Lepisosteus oculatus: one gene and its partner. The protein of the gene in region 2 purifies or fractionates together with the protein of the main gene of each other region. This does not show direct contact. Links are inferred from orthologs where the notes say so. Each region holds a gene or a part of one and is shown on either strand. Other genes may lie near its edges.

Evidence for each region. The genes of interacting proteins can lie anywhere in the genome.
Region 1: the proteins of pop4 (region 2) and rpp14 purify together in Homo sapiens (affinity purification with mass spectrometry; 3 studies listed by BioGRID and IntAct, counting the BioPlex papers as one, with this or other methods). This does not show direct contact. The link is inferred for Lepisosteus oculatus from reciprocal best matches to the Homo sapiens genes POP4 and RPP14.

The regions. Positions count from the first base shown.
Region 1 is NC_090699.1:56,404,652-56,412,693, reverse strand, and holds the start of rpp14 (ribonuclease P protein subunit p14), read left to right. Parts: upstream 1-4,749; 5' UTR 4,750-4,853; exon of another isoform or gene 4,854-4,898; intron 4,899-5,427; 5' UTR 5,428-5,435; coding exon 5,436-5,530; intron 5,531-6,446; coding exon 6,447-6,531; intron 6,532-7,063; coding exon 7,064-7,140; intron 7,141-7,401; coding exon 7,402-7,480; intron 7,481-8,042. UniProt on the Homo sapiens protein: Component of ribonuclease P, a ribonucleoprotein complex that generates mature tRNA molecules by cleaving their 5'-ends.
Region 2 is NC_090715.1:6,023,728-6,031,674, reverse strand, and holds the start of pop4 (ribonuclease P protein subunit p29), read left to right. Parts: upstream 1-4,559; 5' UTR 4,560-4,634; coding exon 4,635-4,641; intron 4,642-5,059; coding exon 5,060-5,112; intron 5,113-5,478; coding exon 5,479-5,702; intron 5,703-6,181; coding exon 6,182-6,259; intron 6,260-7,100; coding exon 7,101-7,162; intron 7,163-7,335; coding exon 7,336-7,437; intron 7,438-7,547; coding exon 7,548-7,684; 3' UTR 7,685-7,947. UniProt on the Homo sapiens protein: Component of ribonuclease P, a ribonucleoprotein complex that generates mature tRNA molecules by cleaving their 5'-ends.

The sequences.
Region 1 (8,042 bases), on a different chromosome or scaffold from region 2:
GAAATCCGGCACTGTACACCAGGCACTTTCCCCTGCAACAGAACTCGCTGCACCACCTACAAATATGTATCCAATACCACCCTCATTCAAGGCCCCTCTGGATAATTCCGGATCACTCAGATGACATATTGTATCTCCAGCAACCTTATTTACTGCACCTCTTGCAGAAAATGTCCAACTATCTACATTGGGGAAACGGGAAGGAGACTGGGAGACCTCTTCAGAGAACATGTCAGGGCTGGAGAATCAAAGATCTCTCCAAGCCCATAGTTTCTCATTTCACCTCCAGTGGTCATGATCACACTGATCTCTCTGTCTGCGTTCTCAAAGAAGGGTTTCTCAACTATTGCAGAAAGACATCCGAAACCAAAATTATCCTGAAACTATCACACCTTCCCCCTTCTCTCAACAACTGACTCGTTTCCTTCAAATCCTCTCTGTTCATTTGAGGGTTTTGACTTCACACCTCTTCACCTCTCTCGACTTCGCACCACCTGAGTGCCCACTCTGCTGCTCTCCTCCCTCCTCCTCTCCATTCCCGGCTTTTGTTCTCCCATGCTTTATTACCTGCTGACTTTCCTGCCTTTCTCACACCCGAAGGCTCCACAGTTGAAGCATTGTGTTTCTTTTCTTCTGTTTTCAGCATGGAATAAACCTTTACTTGTTCCTTTGCAATCTGCGCATGCTGACGCAGCTACCTACTTGAACTATTTTAAAGTCTTTGTTTCTTGTAATAGTTGATAGCATTAACAGCTTGTTTATTAGCCTGGTATGAACTAACAACTACTAATGTTTAGTTGGTAACAAATGTCTGACCGTTCTCATATATAAATTATTTATTACTGCATACTAGAGTTTTAATAGATTGTTATGCATTTATAAAGTGTTGTTTGTAGCCCTTGAGCTGAAGTGTTGAATCTCTGTGTTTTCTTTCATTTAAGATAAGGCAGCAAACTGGGGGAAACTATTTAATGATGTACATTTTTAAATGTATTCAGTACTATAGTGTAACAGAAGTGTTCTTGATTTAAGGACAGTGGAGGTCTGGGAGGTGGTTGACATACTGTAACTGCAAGAAAATTGCTTTAGCGTAATTAAGTGAATTTGTCTCTTCCACTGCTAAAAATCCAAAATTTGCAACATATTTCTCAGCGTGTACTAACAGAAAATGCATGCCTGCTCATTTCCTGTGAAACGTCTATGTCTCTGCTCATCTCAGGCCAGGTACAGAGGTCATACCTAACAGTTGGAGAGTCTCAGTCTGACAGACTGCCTAACCAGGTCTGGCTTTAATTTCAGAGCACAGACAGATATCCATGTTAATTTTCATGTGTTAAATAAAAATACATTCAAAAGAACTACAGATTTAGGAGTTCAAATATGAATACTATGAAATGAAGATGGTTAAGTGTAATACATATTTTACCCATGTGTATAAGCTTAACTATACTGTATATAGCTAAACTTTTAGAGCATTCTATTTTACCTCTGTTTAAATAATGCTGCATCCAGGACCACAGGTAAATGAAATCACTATTCCTCTGAATGCAATACAGACTGTGAAGCACAATTAAGCAAAAACCTGACCCTCAACATTCAAATACAGAATATATTTTTAATTAGTTCACTCAGTATATTCTCTAAGCAGGGACTAACAGTATCGTTTTTTGTAGTCCAGAGCACTGCTTTTAATCCTCCTGCAGCCATGACATAAAACCCTATATGAGCTACAAAGTGTTTTATTGTGCTCTGAATTCTCTGCACAAAGCTGTATGGTTGTGAAAAAATGCACAATTGGTAGGACCAAGTCAAAACCAAGTAAGGATATCATAATGCAAATCAAACAGTTTTGCACCTTCATCTGTTTCTTTTGTTTACTGTACCACTGTCTATTCTGTCATCTTTTCTAAAACACCAGTCACTGGAGCCCAGAAAAGCTTAATAAGCCTTCCTGTCTGAAAAGGATGTATTGCATTTGTTCAGTGCATCTGGGCTCTTCCTGCAGAGAACATCTTGGCAGAACAGTGTTTTCCCCCAGCCCTCTGCCCCCTTTCTGAGATCTTTGACATTTGTCTGTACCAAGGGATGGCCAACCCGGGTCCTTGAGAATCACAGTCCAGCAGGTCTGATGGGTCACTCATTGCCCCCCCAATTCCTAAACACCTGGAGTATCTCAAACACTGGAGAGGGTGAGCTATTCAATTCGGTTTTTGAGCGGTCATTTGGACCACAGCTTTCTTATCCTGATTTCACTGAACCAGTTAACCCCCTAAATAGATCAGAATGCACGTGTTCAGTCTTCAGAAATGTGAGGGTGACCCAAAAGACCTGCTAGATTCCAGCTCTCCATTAACCAGGGTTGGTTTACAACTATTGGCCTACACTCTGTGCTGCACTGAAGCAAACTGGAACAATCCTGCAGATACCTGCTGATGTTCGGATTGTTGACTTGATGTTTTGGACAGGATGTCTTTTGGTTTTTGTTCCAACCTGAGTAGTCAGCCAATTCCCCTAAGTCTTTTCTTAATTAGATAATTAACAAATATTGGGTTAAGAAAATAGAGAATAACAAACAATACTGGGTGGGATAATCAAGAATAATAGACTAATTGTAAAGATTATACCAAGAATATACACAACAGGTTGGTATAGTAAGAGGCATTTGAGATCTTTGTTCTCTGACACAGCTCAGTCAACTCAGGCACAAATTGGAATAAACTAATATTTATTAAAAAATAACAACATAAACTAAATGCACAACATAAAACATTCAAATTACTCTATTTATAAACAAGACATTTCATGTCTTGGAAAAAAAAACCCAGATTACTTTCACAAAGTATGCACCAATCCTAAATAATGCCCTCACAGGTCAACTGTGAAGAACTAAGCCTGCCTTCTTAATTAAAGATTTAAAGACCTACAGTTAAATCTCTCCCTCTATAAATCCAGATGCTACAAAGTGAATGGGATGCATCTCCCTAAATGCATCCTTTGACCAGGTGAGATTGTTTTTAATCTAGGGATTTTATATACAAGAAATAAAAGTTCCCTGAGAATAACAGAATGGCAAACTCTCTTAACAAGGTTCAAATATTTATCTAGAATCTTGTCTTCATTGGTTGATCCAAACCAGAACCTGTAGCCTGGCACTCCTTTTTCTCTCTCCTTGTGTTTTGCAGTCTGCCTCATCTCCTCCCTGTTCTCTTTTTACCCTCTCTCTGTCTTTGTTCCCAGACTGTTGATGACTCTTAATTATTTGCCAAGAATTTAATGAACCAAGGTAAACCAGACCCATTACAAGTCAGAGAACACCTCAGGTGTCGATCCTTGTCTTTAATTCTTATGACTCCTCAATAGCCACTTCCTATAGCTTTGACAATATATAGGATTTTTCAAAAGGTCTTTTAGTTGACTAGGCAAGAGCCAGACGTTCACTTCATTAAAGGTTCTGTTGCGTAGAAATCACCTAGAAACATGTTAGAAATGTTACATTGAATAATTAATTAAATAAATAAATGTAACAGAGAACATGATCAGAACAAAAATCAGAAGGCACTGGGCCTTGCAGGAATGGAGTTTGAGATACTATATAGTGTACCTTGAAAATTAACTTAGTCCTCAAGATTTTTTTTCTTTAGGTATTATAATTGTATATAAGTCTCAAGCAAGTATTGAAAATTATCCATAGTAGGTATTTATTGTACTGCACACAATTACCATATTGTGTTTATTGGTATATTTTATGGAGTTTTCATTGTGCTAAAATATAGAAACAATTCTCATTTTTAATATTTTATTGTAATTACTGTAGAAATGTGTATGTAAATAGTATTATGATTAGTAATAAGCTCCTCATGACGAGAATAGAAACTGTTGTTCAAGATGTGACATGCTTAATTTCGTTGTGCATCCATTTTCTAACCACTTCTTCCAATTTAGGGTCAATGGGCACAAGGCAGGGATGAGACACCAGTCCATCACAAGGCAGTACAAATGCAGACACACCAGGGCTAATTATCCCAGAAGCCAATTCACCTACCACCAGTATGTCTGTAGACTGGGGGAAGAAACTGGAGAACTTAGATGAAACCCACATGGGAAATCACACAAACTCCACATAGATACAGTAGCTCCCCAGGAATTGAACCCAGGGCCAGAGCACTGCAAGACAGTTAAGCTAACCACTGCGCCACCCACTTTCATTTTAATATCAGTTAACTGGTGGATACAATGAATTGCCTCCACTTTTAGTAGTGTAACTAAAATGTTTTCTGAAAGACAGTATTTTTGTATGTTGTAGAAACTTTAGTTTAAATATTAAGAATAAATATTAAGGTGGAGTAAAGCCGTGTACGAAATTTGGGAGCAGAATTATTATGTTATTATGTAGGTGGATGCTGCACATTGGTGGTGGTGGAGGGGAGTTCCCATTACCTGTAAAGCGCTTTGAGTGGAGTGTCCAGAAAAGCGCTATATAAGTGTAAGCAATTATTATTATTATTATTATTATTATTATTATTATTATTATTATTATTATTATTATTATGATGATGTCTAAATGACCAATCCTTCACAAGTGACCAAACAATTTAGCCGAAATAACGAATCGTAATGCTTTTCCGTGTATTAAATTCCGTGATGTAGAAAGTAAAGATAATTTTATTTATTTACTACTGGAGACGTGGACTGAGATTTGATTTATATTAGGACGTCATATGGACCTTTTGAGGACATTAGGTACAGAACTGTATACGAGCACAGAGCTAGGTCGGACTGCAAAGGCTGTAGAACAGGAAGTACGACTTGAAACGTGGTTACAGTGCGGAGTTTAATCTGAGTTAAGGTGTCAGGTAATGTGAAGAATTTTTAATCAAACCAACACCAGTCTCTGACATGTTGAGTACTACAAATCTGTTTACTTTGCTCTGTATCATTAGGAGCCTTTTTCTTAGCTTCTGCCTTGCAACACTGAATCAAAAGCAAATGCTGTCTTAAGTAATAATGTCTTCTCACAGAAAATCTCGCAGATATTATTATTATTATTATTAATAGAATGATATATTTGCGAAATACTGACAGCATTTCTTTTAGTCTTTTTTCCTATAACATTCGCGAAATCGTGAATTAAGGGTGCAAAAATAAAGCAGCTTTTAGAAACTACTTTCTCGCTACAGAATATAACGGGGTTGACTAAATTAACATTGTTAGGAAACAACTGTGTGAGTTGATCATACCACACATTGTTGCTGTATTGTAATTTTATTTTTTGTTATTGCATGGTTACAAAGTTTCTCACTTAAACCCAAAGCAATACGTTATGTTGCTCCTCTAAAGTTAACAAACACAGTGGAATTGCAGGGCCGTGCAATCTGTGCAGAACATTATTTTCTGCTGTGTGATTACGGGATTTTTCTCTTTGTTAAGGAAATAGCATGAGACGCTCTGGGAAACAGGAGGAGGAACCTGCAAGTTATGAAAGGCTTGTTTTGAAGAATGCATCAGTGTACCATTATCTGAGGATCTCCCTGTGAGTGTGCCGGCATGTTTTGTTTTCACGAGCATTTCTTGGTGTCTCCTACAAATTGTTTGATCACGCATGAACGCTCACCTGGCACCTCATTAAATGTACTGCAGTTAATCTGATAATAGCAACGAGTGTTGTTTCCAGGCTGTTTCAATGTCTTTAATATATTTTTTTAATTGTATCGTAATTTACACCATAGCTAGGTTTTACACTAAAATGTTCACAGACGTGTTCTGGAAATCATTGTTCAACTCTGACCAGTATTGCTCAACTGATGTACGGTGTTGTTGTTTGATTTTAAAACTGAAGATTATTTTTCTAACATCCTACACATCAATATGAATGTGTTCAAATTTATTATAAAGATGTATAGAAATATCTAGGGAGATTTGGTGGATCAGTGATTAGTATTGGTGTCTTGCATCACTGGGGCCATGAGTTTAATTCCAGACCTGGGGTGCTATCTGCATAGAGTTTGTATGTCCTCCCTGAGTTTGTGTGGGTTTTGGCTGGGTGCTTTGGTTTCTTCCCAAAGTCCATAGGAGGATTAATGGGTAGGTTATTTGACTTCTAGGAATGTTGGCCTTGGTCTGAGTGTAGGCGTTTGTCTCTGCCTTGCAATGGACTGGCGTCTGGCCCAGGCTGTATCCTGCCTCACTTTCGTTGCTTGCTGGGATAGGCTCCAGCTGCCCCATGACCCTGAATTGGATCAAGTGGTTAGAAAACAAATTGCTATAAATACATTTTTTTTAAATCATCCCTCTTTTTTTTAAATCAAGCTCTCATGAGAATTCGGCTGTGATTTTGCAGGTGTGAGAAATGCATTGCCAAATATCTAAGCGACTTTTCTCTAGATGCAGACAGGGCAGAATTTTGTTTCCTTCTCTGTTGGTGGAAAACTCTGGCCTTGTTTTTACAGAGTATTCCAAGACAGTGACAAAAGACTCAGTGAGGCCCAGTTCAAGCAGCTGATCATTTCAGCCCTCAGAGACCTGTATGGAGAGGTATGTAAATGCAAATATAAGTTTGATGTACCAGATATACAGAGCTAGACTCCATCTTGATATACAGACCCAGTTTGGAAATATTTAAATGGACTTTTACCCAAATTGACAAATTTATTTTGTTAATAATTTGTTAACTCTGTTGACAAATGGATCTACAGAATAATACAGTACAGTTCATACAGCTTTTAGGCCATATTTTAGAAGAAACGCGTATCCTCTGTTCTATAAGAAATAATAGATGAATATAGTGTCTTTGCTACTATCAATCCTTGTGTGTTTTGTATTTGATTTTCAAGCAGCATTTTGCATGGGAACATGACCATAAATACCAGAAAGTAGGTGCTTCAGAAAGGAAAGGGGAGTGCAAATATCTGTTGCACAGTTATGTTTATCAGCGTTTCATTAAGGGAAGTGTATTGTGAAATAAAGAGAAAGGTGTTAGCTTTGCTTGATATGTTTAACGTGTGTTGCAGTTTTGTTTTAATGGGCAACTCCAGAAATAGACACAAATAACACAGATGTTTTGTAGATTGGAGCCGCCTTTCCTTTCGATGTTCTAAAATTTGAGGAGAACACGCTGAAAGCGATAATACGAGTGTTGAGCAGGTAAAGTAATATTGCTTGTCTGTAAAAATGAAAAATGTGGAAGCAAGCATAGTAAAAATAGTCAACGAGTCAAATGTCCTATAGTTCAAAACAATTAGAAGTGTATTCAAGATTTTTATATTATTGTTTGGTTATACAATTTATTTATATGTATGATTTATGATTTATTTTTTTTAAATGTATTTTAAAATGTACAGGATCGACAATGGTGTTTGTCCACAGCCCTTCCTCTGAGTCACTATGCAAATATTTTTCTTCCAGTGGCCTTGTGAAACTGTGGAGTGCTCTGACATTACTAGGATCCTATCAAAATGAACCATGTGCCTTTAGGATTATTCAGGTGAGTTAATTAGTTGAAATAGCCAATTTGTTTTTGAATGTACAATATTCCCCATCTTTTAAAGTTACACCATGTAAATGCTCAGTGTTTTGCAAAGTTCTTTATATTTTGTGGACTATTTTATATTTTGTGGGAAAAAAACAAAGGGAATGAGTATTTTGTCTGCTTTCCAGTAATCATATTTGAATTATTTTAACTTTATTTTCTTACAAAGTGTGAGCACACTCTATTGACAGATTTATCTACATAATAATAGCCTCAGTTCATACAGCTTATTTGCCTTTTGTGTGTCTTACAGTCTGATTGTACATTAAATACATACTACATTACATACATTAAATACAGCACACTAATGTCAGCACACATGGGAATTATAAACATTAAAAACATATTTCACTTAGGCCTAATTTACACCACCGAAATTTTGCCTTGTTCTTCATAGACTGCAGAGCAAAAAATGAACAACAGATGGCAGCAATAGGTTTGTAGTATTGCCTTGTGATGAATGACTCAACAGAAAAATACACAAAGGGCTGTGTATGTAATAAGATATACATATGTG
Region 2 (7,947 bases):
GTAGAGTGAGGCAAAGTTGTTAATGGAGAGTGATGACAATTTTAAAATGATTTTGACTGGCTGTAGGACAAGGCCTAGTTCTTCGAATTTTAAATGCATTTTATGCAGAAGCAAACCTTTACTTGGGGAATGTTTAACAAGAAAGTTTAGTATTATCAGCTAGCATTTAGCTACCAGACACATACATTTATGTCAAGCTCATTTCACCAAAAACTTTCAGACAAAGCAAGAAATATTTGCTTTAAATAATCACTTGAAATACTTGGAAAGTTCAATGTAAGAACATTGTAATGTGGGAACAACATACAAATATATACACATTGAGCCCATTTGTTTTTTTTTTTAAGATGAAAGCATAAGAAAAGAGGAGAAATTATTGTTCCCAATTTGCTTTTCTTTAGAGGAACTGTAATAAACATTCTAAAGTTTGTGATAATTTGTTCCATTGTTTGTATCAAATCCACAGGATTTCCTTTAATTAGTTTAAATACAGTAAGTCTTCACTGGTAATAATTTTTAAGGATAAATCTTTTTACTTTTATTCTGTAAGTAGGTATATCTTCAGTTTGTTCTGAAAGCCACATGTAATTGTTCATAGATTTTCTTCAATACACATTGAAAAGGCAGATTTGTCTTCCTGTTCTTAGGTATTGGTGCAGTGTCTGGTTGGTACAGAGAGAAACGGAAAGGTCAGACAAGCCTAGAGGTGATTCAGAAAAGCTGAACAAGTATCATGTGAATTACACTTGGTCCGTGACCTTTCGAACAATCAGAGTTACCATTCCCTGTTAGCTCTTCTAATTCAGAGATTTTCTTAAGCCATGAGAGCTCTTGTGCTATAAAACACAGATAATGTCATTCATGAAAGACATATCAGTTGCTTTCTCTTGAGCCCAGTAAGACCTCAATGCAAGAGAAAAACAAGTTGAAGCCTACCAACGACTGACAAGAAAGGGACAAGATGTTAGACTTCTTTTAAAAAATTAGTTTCACAGATGATTTAAAATATAAATAAAATATAAAAATATATAATATAAAAAATATAAACAAAGTAAATCTTGTAAGTATAAATCGTGTAAGGAAAGGATATCTTTTTTTTTAAGTCTGTACTGCTGGAAACAGTTTTTATTTCAGCAAATACTCCACATTTTAGTGGAACAAATAACTGATAACATTTGCAGGCTCAATGTATAGTATATCATCTAATTTTATTACACACAACACAAAGCATTGCCCATTTATTCTTAGCACTATTTAAACCATAAACATCTTTCTTTTTATTTCTAAATCAAAGTTTTAGCTCAGGGCTGACCAATCCTGGTGCTGAAGGGTAGGTAGGACTGTAGATTTTCCAGGTGTATTTAAAGCACCAACACCTGAAGAGATTGAAGAAGCTGACAAATGAGTCCAATTAAGACAATAACAAGCTGATTAAGGTCGTTCAAAGCCCAGCTGGACTGAAAACCTATAAACACACCAGCCCTCTAGGACCAGGATGGGGAGCCCTGCTTTAACCTTTACGTTTCATAATTTAGAAATAAAAGCTGGGCAGACCATCAACTCTCTTGATACTATGTAACTTAAAATTTTAAACCAAGACCAGCCGTTCAATGCTTTCACCAAGCTGGTGTACAAGAGTTCAGAGCAAAAAGGTTTATTCTATGATAAGCTTTTAAGCCTGGTGCTTTCATTGTGTTTATTGTATTCACAAGACTTGTCACCTTTATGTATTACAAACACTTGAGCATTCTTATCTTTTATTTATAGGCATTTCAGGTCTTTTCATAGAAACTGAACAACCTCCACTCTGTCTCTATGTTTCTTCCTGACCTTTTCCTCCTGTCTTGACATGGTATTATGAACACCCATGCCATACACAACACTACCTATATTAGCTCAAGATCATGTGGGCCATTGCTATGGCTTTATGCAGACTATTTCTTCTGAGCTGTCAGACCTGTATTCATTCCATATCCATGCTGAAAGGCAGACGGAGAGACAGACAAAGACAGGCAGTAGTCATCAGGTCAGAGTGAAATCGTCCCCAAAACACAAATGTTTGTATTCAAAGTCAAAAAAGCAATTCTCTCAGCAAATCGTCTAATAAATTTCCAGTCATGACCCATCCTGCTTCCAAAAACATTTACGAGACGACAAGGCTTTGGTGCGAATTGAGTGTCGGTTCAAACACCTGCTCTCTTTTTTTTCCCCCGCTGAAGTAGGGATTATAACACATGGCAATCTGGTCACACAGTAATCCAAATACTGCAATTAATAGCTAAGTAATGTAACCACATTTTTCTTTGGTTAATGAAAAAAAACAAAATCCCTGTCTCTTAGAACTTAAAAATCTACCCTGCCTTTCAAGCTTTTCCTAGTGTGATGTATTCCTACAGTATGTATTCTTAGGCATATTTTTAATTTATCCTTAAATCTGATTAGGTAGTCGTTAAAAATGAAAAGTGCACTTAATGTGGTTTGAAATGCCACAGGAGATGAAAACTGGTAGGTTTAAGTGCACTCAAGTTTGTCGTCAGCTTTCCAGTAGCTCAGATAAGTACCCACGGGAAACCCTCACTTTCAACTCACATGGGCATTGGGAAGCACTGTCCCTTTAGAAATCAATACAACATTGTTTCCCCCTGAGTACGTTCACTTTTCTCTTGCAAAATTTGCTTCCTTAAGCTTTATTTTGCTATGACTAAAGCTTGCCATTTTTTCAATAATAGTGCAGCATGGGAGGCGAAAGCAGTGTGTGACAGGATCAAACCAGGATCACCAGCACTGCAGGCAGGCTTGTTACTGCGTTTCTAAGAGGTCTGGCCCGCCTGGCAAGGAGATAATAAGCTGCTACATGACTCTTACCTCTCTGGAACTATACCAGGGATGTGCATGCTGCTCTGTTCCCTGCTGAACTGCATTATACCTCCTTATTGGCATGGGCTTCCTCCTGCCATTGATGTCCTGTTTAAAAGAAGGTTTTCTGGGAATTGAACTTGTATCGCTGGTGTCATGGGCAAATCTGTTGCTGTGATTCCCAAAGGTCAGGATTACCCGGCATCTTGTTTTTGCTTTTCAAGACTTTTACCAAGTGAGGGCAATGATAAAATCAGAATAACTTAAAAGTCACTGAGAAACATTTCATTTTCTGGTAGAGGCATAGTTGTTAAGCTCAACTTAAATATTCAATCCATCCATATTTTGTTATTCAGTCAGCTTTCATACCTCAACAAATTAAATGTATACTGGACCCTTCTATTATTTCATAGCCAGGGTAAATGAGTAAAAATGTTTGCCTATGTACAAAAAAAGAAAAATACCTACCTACCTGCTAATATGTTATATAAATATATTTAGGTTATAAGAGTGTGGAACAAGCTACCCACTCATGAGGTTGAAGCTGACACCTTAGCTCCATTCAAGAAATGGATGGATACCCTAATTCCCAGATGGGATAGATCTTCTTGTGTGTAGCCTTTTTTAAAGTTCTTATTAATTAAACCTAGTTCTGGACAAAATCAACATTCTTTCCACCAGGGATCTTCATCAATCAGTATGTTCAGTCTGTGTGTCAAATGAATTCAGCCTACAATGTTATATATATATATTCAACTGAAATAATTATTGCAGAGACACATAATGGTTTAGTAATTGCTTTTTAAGGCTGTCATGGTGCTCACAAATATTGCACATTCTCAACTACAGTTTTTTTTTCCATTGCTTTGAATGTGCAGACAATTAGACATGTTTATCTCTGTCTGGGGAAGATTGTTTGCAGCTGAAATGTTTCCACTCAACAAGGCTGTAATTCTATGAGCAATAAAAAATATTTTGTTGGTACACTTTTAAATTACTTTTCACCTTTGAATAAGGAATGCTTTTGGGACACAGAAACATAAAACCTGTCGTTTGCAAATAGATCAGAGTGGCACGGAGTGTTTGGAATACAGAGCAGTACAAAAAAGGAGGTTAAAGGATATTAAAACAAATTTCAGATTCAGACACGAAAAATAATATGTGACTCAAAACTAATATGACATGGATGGATAGATGGATGTTTGTTTATTATGCCTTCCAGCTAGTTGGGGCCAATAAAATGACATACATATTAATATTTGTTTTACAGACGTCTAAAACGTAGCCATGATTTGTGTGAGAAAATAGTCAACACCTTTTTGTTTACCACTGTCTTCACAGGCCCTTGAATCACACTGCGTTTAATTATATTATTAAACAGAAGAAAAGAGTAGTTTAGGTTTCAGCACTTAACAGAAACTATCCCTGTACTCTTCTACCGTGGGAGAGTTTAAAGCACATGTACTGCCTACCAGAGTCACTAAACTAGCATATACCAAGCTAATGCTTATTAGCTTATACGCTAATACACGGATCTTAAACAAACAAATGCATAGTTCATAATATTCAGCTCATAATATCCGTATGTAAAGTAAAATAATTAATTTTCCTGTGGATTGCATACACAGTAATGCTTAAAATTAAACCTACCTCGCAATCGACTAATCATGTCTATGTGACCACGTGGTGCGGAAGTACTTCATAGACGCAGACTCACGTTGTGGAGTGGAGTTGAGTTTAAATTTCAATGCAGAAAGCATAACGAGAAGCACATCAGAATGGAATGTAAGTCTGGCTAATTTTGTAAAGAAAAACACGTTTAAACCCTGATCACTAGGTGTAAAAGCTATTTCTGTAATCACACACTGTTTCTAGCTTCATCGAAAAAAATAGTTTTCTTCTCGTCACTCACCTTTTCAAGCTTCAATAAAGTATTCGTGTTTTGCAAACAAAAATTGGATATTAATAAATGTACTTAAGTTTACATGTACAAACGGTTGAAAGCCTATTTGTTTTCAAACTTGAAAAAATGTCAAGGTACGGTTTAGAGTTGAAACAGTCATATCAAACCCTTCCGTGCTTTTCATTTGTCCAGCTCGTATTTCTATGCAAATATCAAACGGGTTGTGAAGGTGTGCAAAGATATTCAAGTTATTCTTCAATTTTTTTATTGTTTTTGTATTATTTTGTATTATTTTTGTAGGTAGTGTTCAGTCTGCTCTACCAGCTAAACAGGCTGCAATTCTGGGCATCCAGGTAAATTTATTATTTTCAGACGTGCTGTCCTTTGCTGCCCTCTGCAGTTTTTGTGTACCAAAAAGTGGAGACTTCACACTTTTAAGCTGTTTTGCAACAGGGTGGGGTTTGTGCTTTTAGAAATTGAAAATCTGATCTTTTGAGTGTTTTGTTCTGTTCTCCAGAACATTGGCAGATTCAAGATTAAACGTTTTCTCTCATTTCCATTCTGCTTTACATATGAATTCCACTTGTGAGTTACTACTACAAATCTCTGAATTAATTTAGATTAAAGGAAGGCATTGCTTCCAATAGGGAGGAAGCGCTGAAGTGATTTGTCTCGTTCACTGCAGCAATAAAAACATTTTCTGCTTGTCTTCATAACAGTCCCAAGATGCCAATCAAGCAGAAGCTTTCACAAACGCATTTCTGAAGAGGAGCATGCCAAGGCTCAAAGAAGAGGAAATCCAGCAGTTTTTGGTTCGCAAGGCAGTGGTACTTGAGCATGCCTTCAAGAGAGTTCAGAAGAAAAAGAGGAAGAAAGCAAAAGGCCTAAATGCCAAGCAGAGGAGGGAAATGAAAGTATTTGAGCTGAAACCCGAGCAGCAGAAGTCAGTGCAATTACAGTTTATTATTTTTATTCAGTAATGTGTGAAATGGTAGAGTGAAACTCTTCATTTTGTTTTTTAATTTGAATGCAGAACACTTTGCTTTAATGAAATGGGAAAAGGGGGCATATCTTCCATCTGTTTGTATTAACTTTTATTAATCCTATTTAGAGAGGTGGGGAGCTGTGTCAGTATGCGAGCCGCAAAGGAGGAAGTAGAGGTTAATTGTACACTGACATGTATACAGAGTAAAAAAGATACAGGGTTTTAGTATGAACACCTAAAGAAAGCTCCACAGCCTTCCTTCATATTTTAGTGTGGAATTAACATCTTTTTGTTTGGTACAATTTATAAGGTATGATAGAAGTGCAGTAAATGGATTAAATGTGAATTACAATTAATTTTTGGAGTAAGGCTATAGAACAGGTCACCTGTTGACTCTAGAGATGGAAGGATGTCTTTTATTAAAGTTGTTTTGCCAGGTATGAACTCTTCTTGCCACTACATGAATTGTGGAAGCAGTACATGCGTGATCTTTGTAATGGACTCAGACCAGAAAGGTATGACTGCATGCTTAATTTTAAAAAGCTGTCAAAACAATAAACCATAATGCAATCAACAGCTGTCCTATGTTTGTTAAGGGTGGAAGTAAGCAGATTTTGGCATTAGCTCACTAGCAAAACAATAAAAACAACTTCTTAATTTGACAATGTTAACACATAGACAGGTACAACAGGTTTAAGCTTTCATTATCAGAGAGTCACCTTCTCTAAACTCCTTCAAATCCAGACTCAAAACTTTCTTTAGAAGAGCCTTTACTTAACTGGTTCCATTCTTCACTCCTCTGCTTTTCTTAGTACCACCATCCACGGTCTCCTCTGCATATTGTAATTGTGTTTTATCTTGTGTATTCTTTTTATTTATTGTTGTTGTTATTCTGTAAAGTGTTATAATTGTATGATTGATACATTATGTTTTCTAATATTTATATTTTTAATATTTCCCTGGGTCATGTTAAACTGTAAATCATTGACAAGAAGGAGAAATCTGTTACGATTTGATAACTAGTACCACAGTGAGCACTTCAGGGAACTCTTTATTTGCTTCTTTAGGATGATTCCTGAAGATCATTATGGAAAATATATTCAGTTTTCCTAGTATGATAATTCTTTCTCATCATTTCTTTATAATTTATATCAAGATGTCACAAATTGTGGCTTAAAACACTAGTATTTTAAGACCATAACTGATACAAGGCAGGTTCTTCTATTTCACCCTTTGTCCTATTAGTTCCTTTAAAACGTTTTACCATTCAGAATGGATAAAGCAAATGCACTGTATAAATGAAATTCTGTCTTGCAGTTAAATCAGGTTTTTCTACCACTTTTAATTTAATCTTAGCAACCCTCAGATGATCCAGAATAAGCTATTGAAGGCAGATTTCCATGGTGCTATTATAACAGGTAATTGTGTTGTTCTTTTTCTTTAATCTGACATAAAGATACATAGAATTCTTTAAGCAAAATAAGTACTGTACATTCTAGTTTTAATTTTTCTCATCAAAGCTTCCAATCAAAACAATAGCCTTAATAATCTTTTTTGGAAGTTGTGAATAAATATCTTCTTTTTTTTCCAGTAGTCAAATCTAAGTGTCCTTCTTATGTGGGCACTACAGGAATTCTTTTACAAGAGATGAAGCATGTGTTCAAAATTATCACAGAAGAGGACAGGCTGAAAGGTGTGCATCAATTATCCATCAATCTAAATAATGTATGTTTTAATGCTTTGTTCAGAATTTATGTTGTAAAGTAATTTCTGTTTTTTTGTCTTTTTTTTTCCTCCCTACAGTTATCCCAAAGCGCAACAGTGTCTTTAGTGTGGAAATTGATGGATTCATTTCCTATATCTATGGCAGCAAGTTTCAGCTCAGATCAAGCGAGCGCTCAGCTAAGAAATTTAAAGTGAAAGGAACCATAGACCTTTAATTGAGAGCCAATGTAGCTGAAGCAGCCTCTTAGGAAATGTCACCAGTTGCTCCACTGAGACTAATGGAAAGAGATTTGCAGCTGCCAGGCAAGATATGAAAGAAATTCAGCTTCTCGGAAAAGGCTATTGATTAGCTTGTCTCTGGAGAAACATCTTTTTTTAATGGCAGTCAGTTACTTTATGCTTTTAATTTCCACAGTTTAATGCTAATCTGATTACATCTAGCAACAATGCACTGGCAAAAAGGCAATGTTTCTCAGAC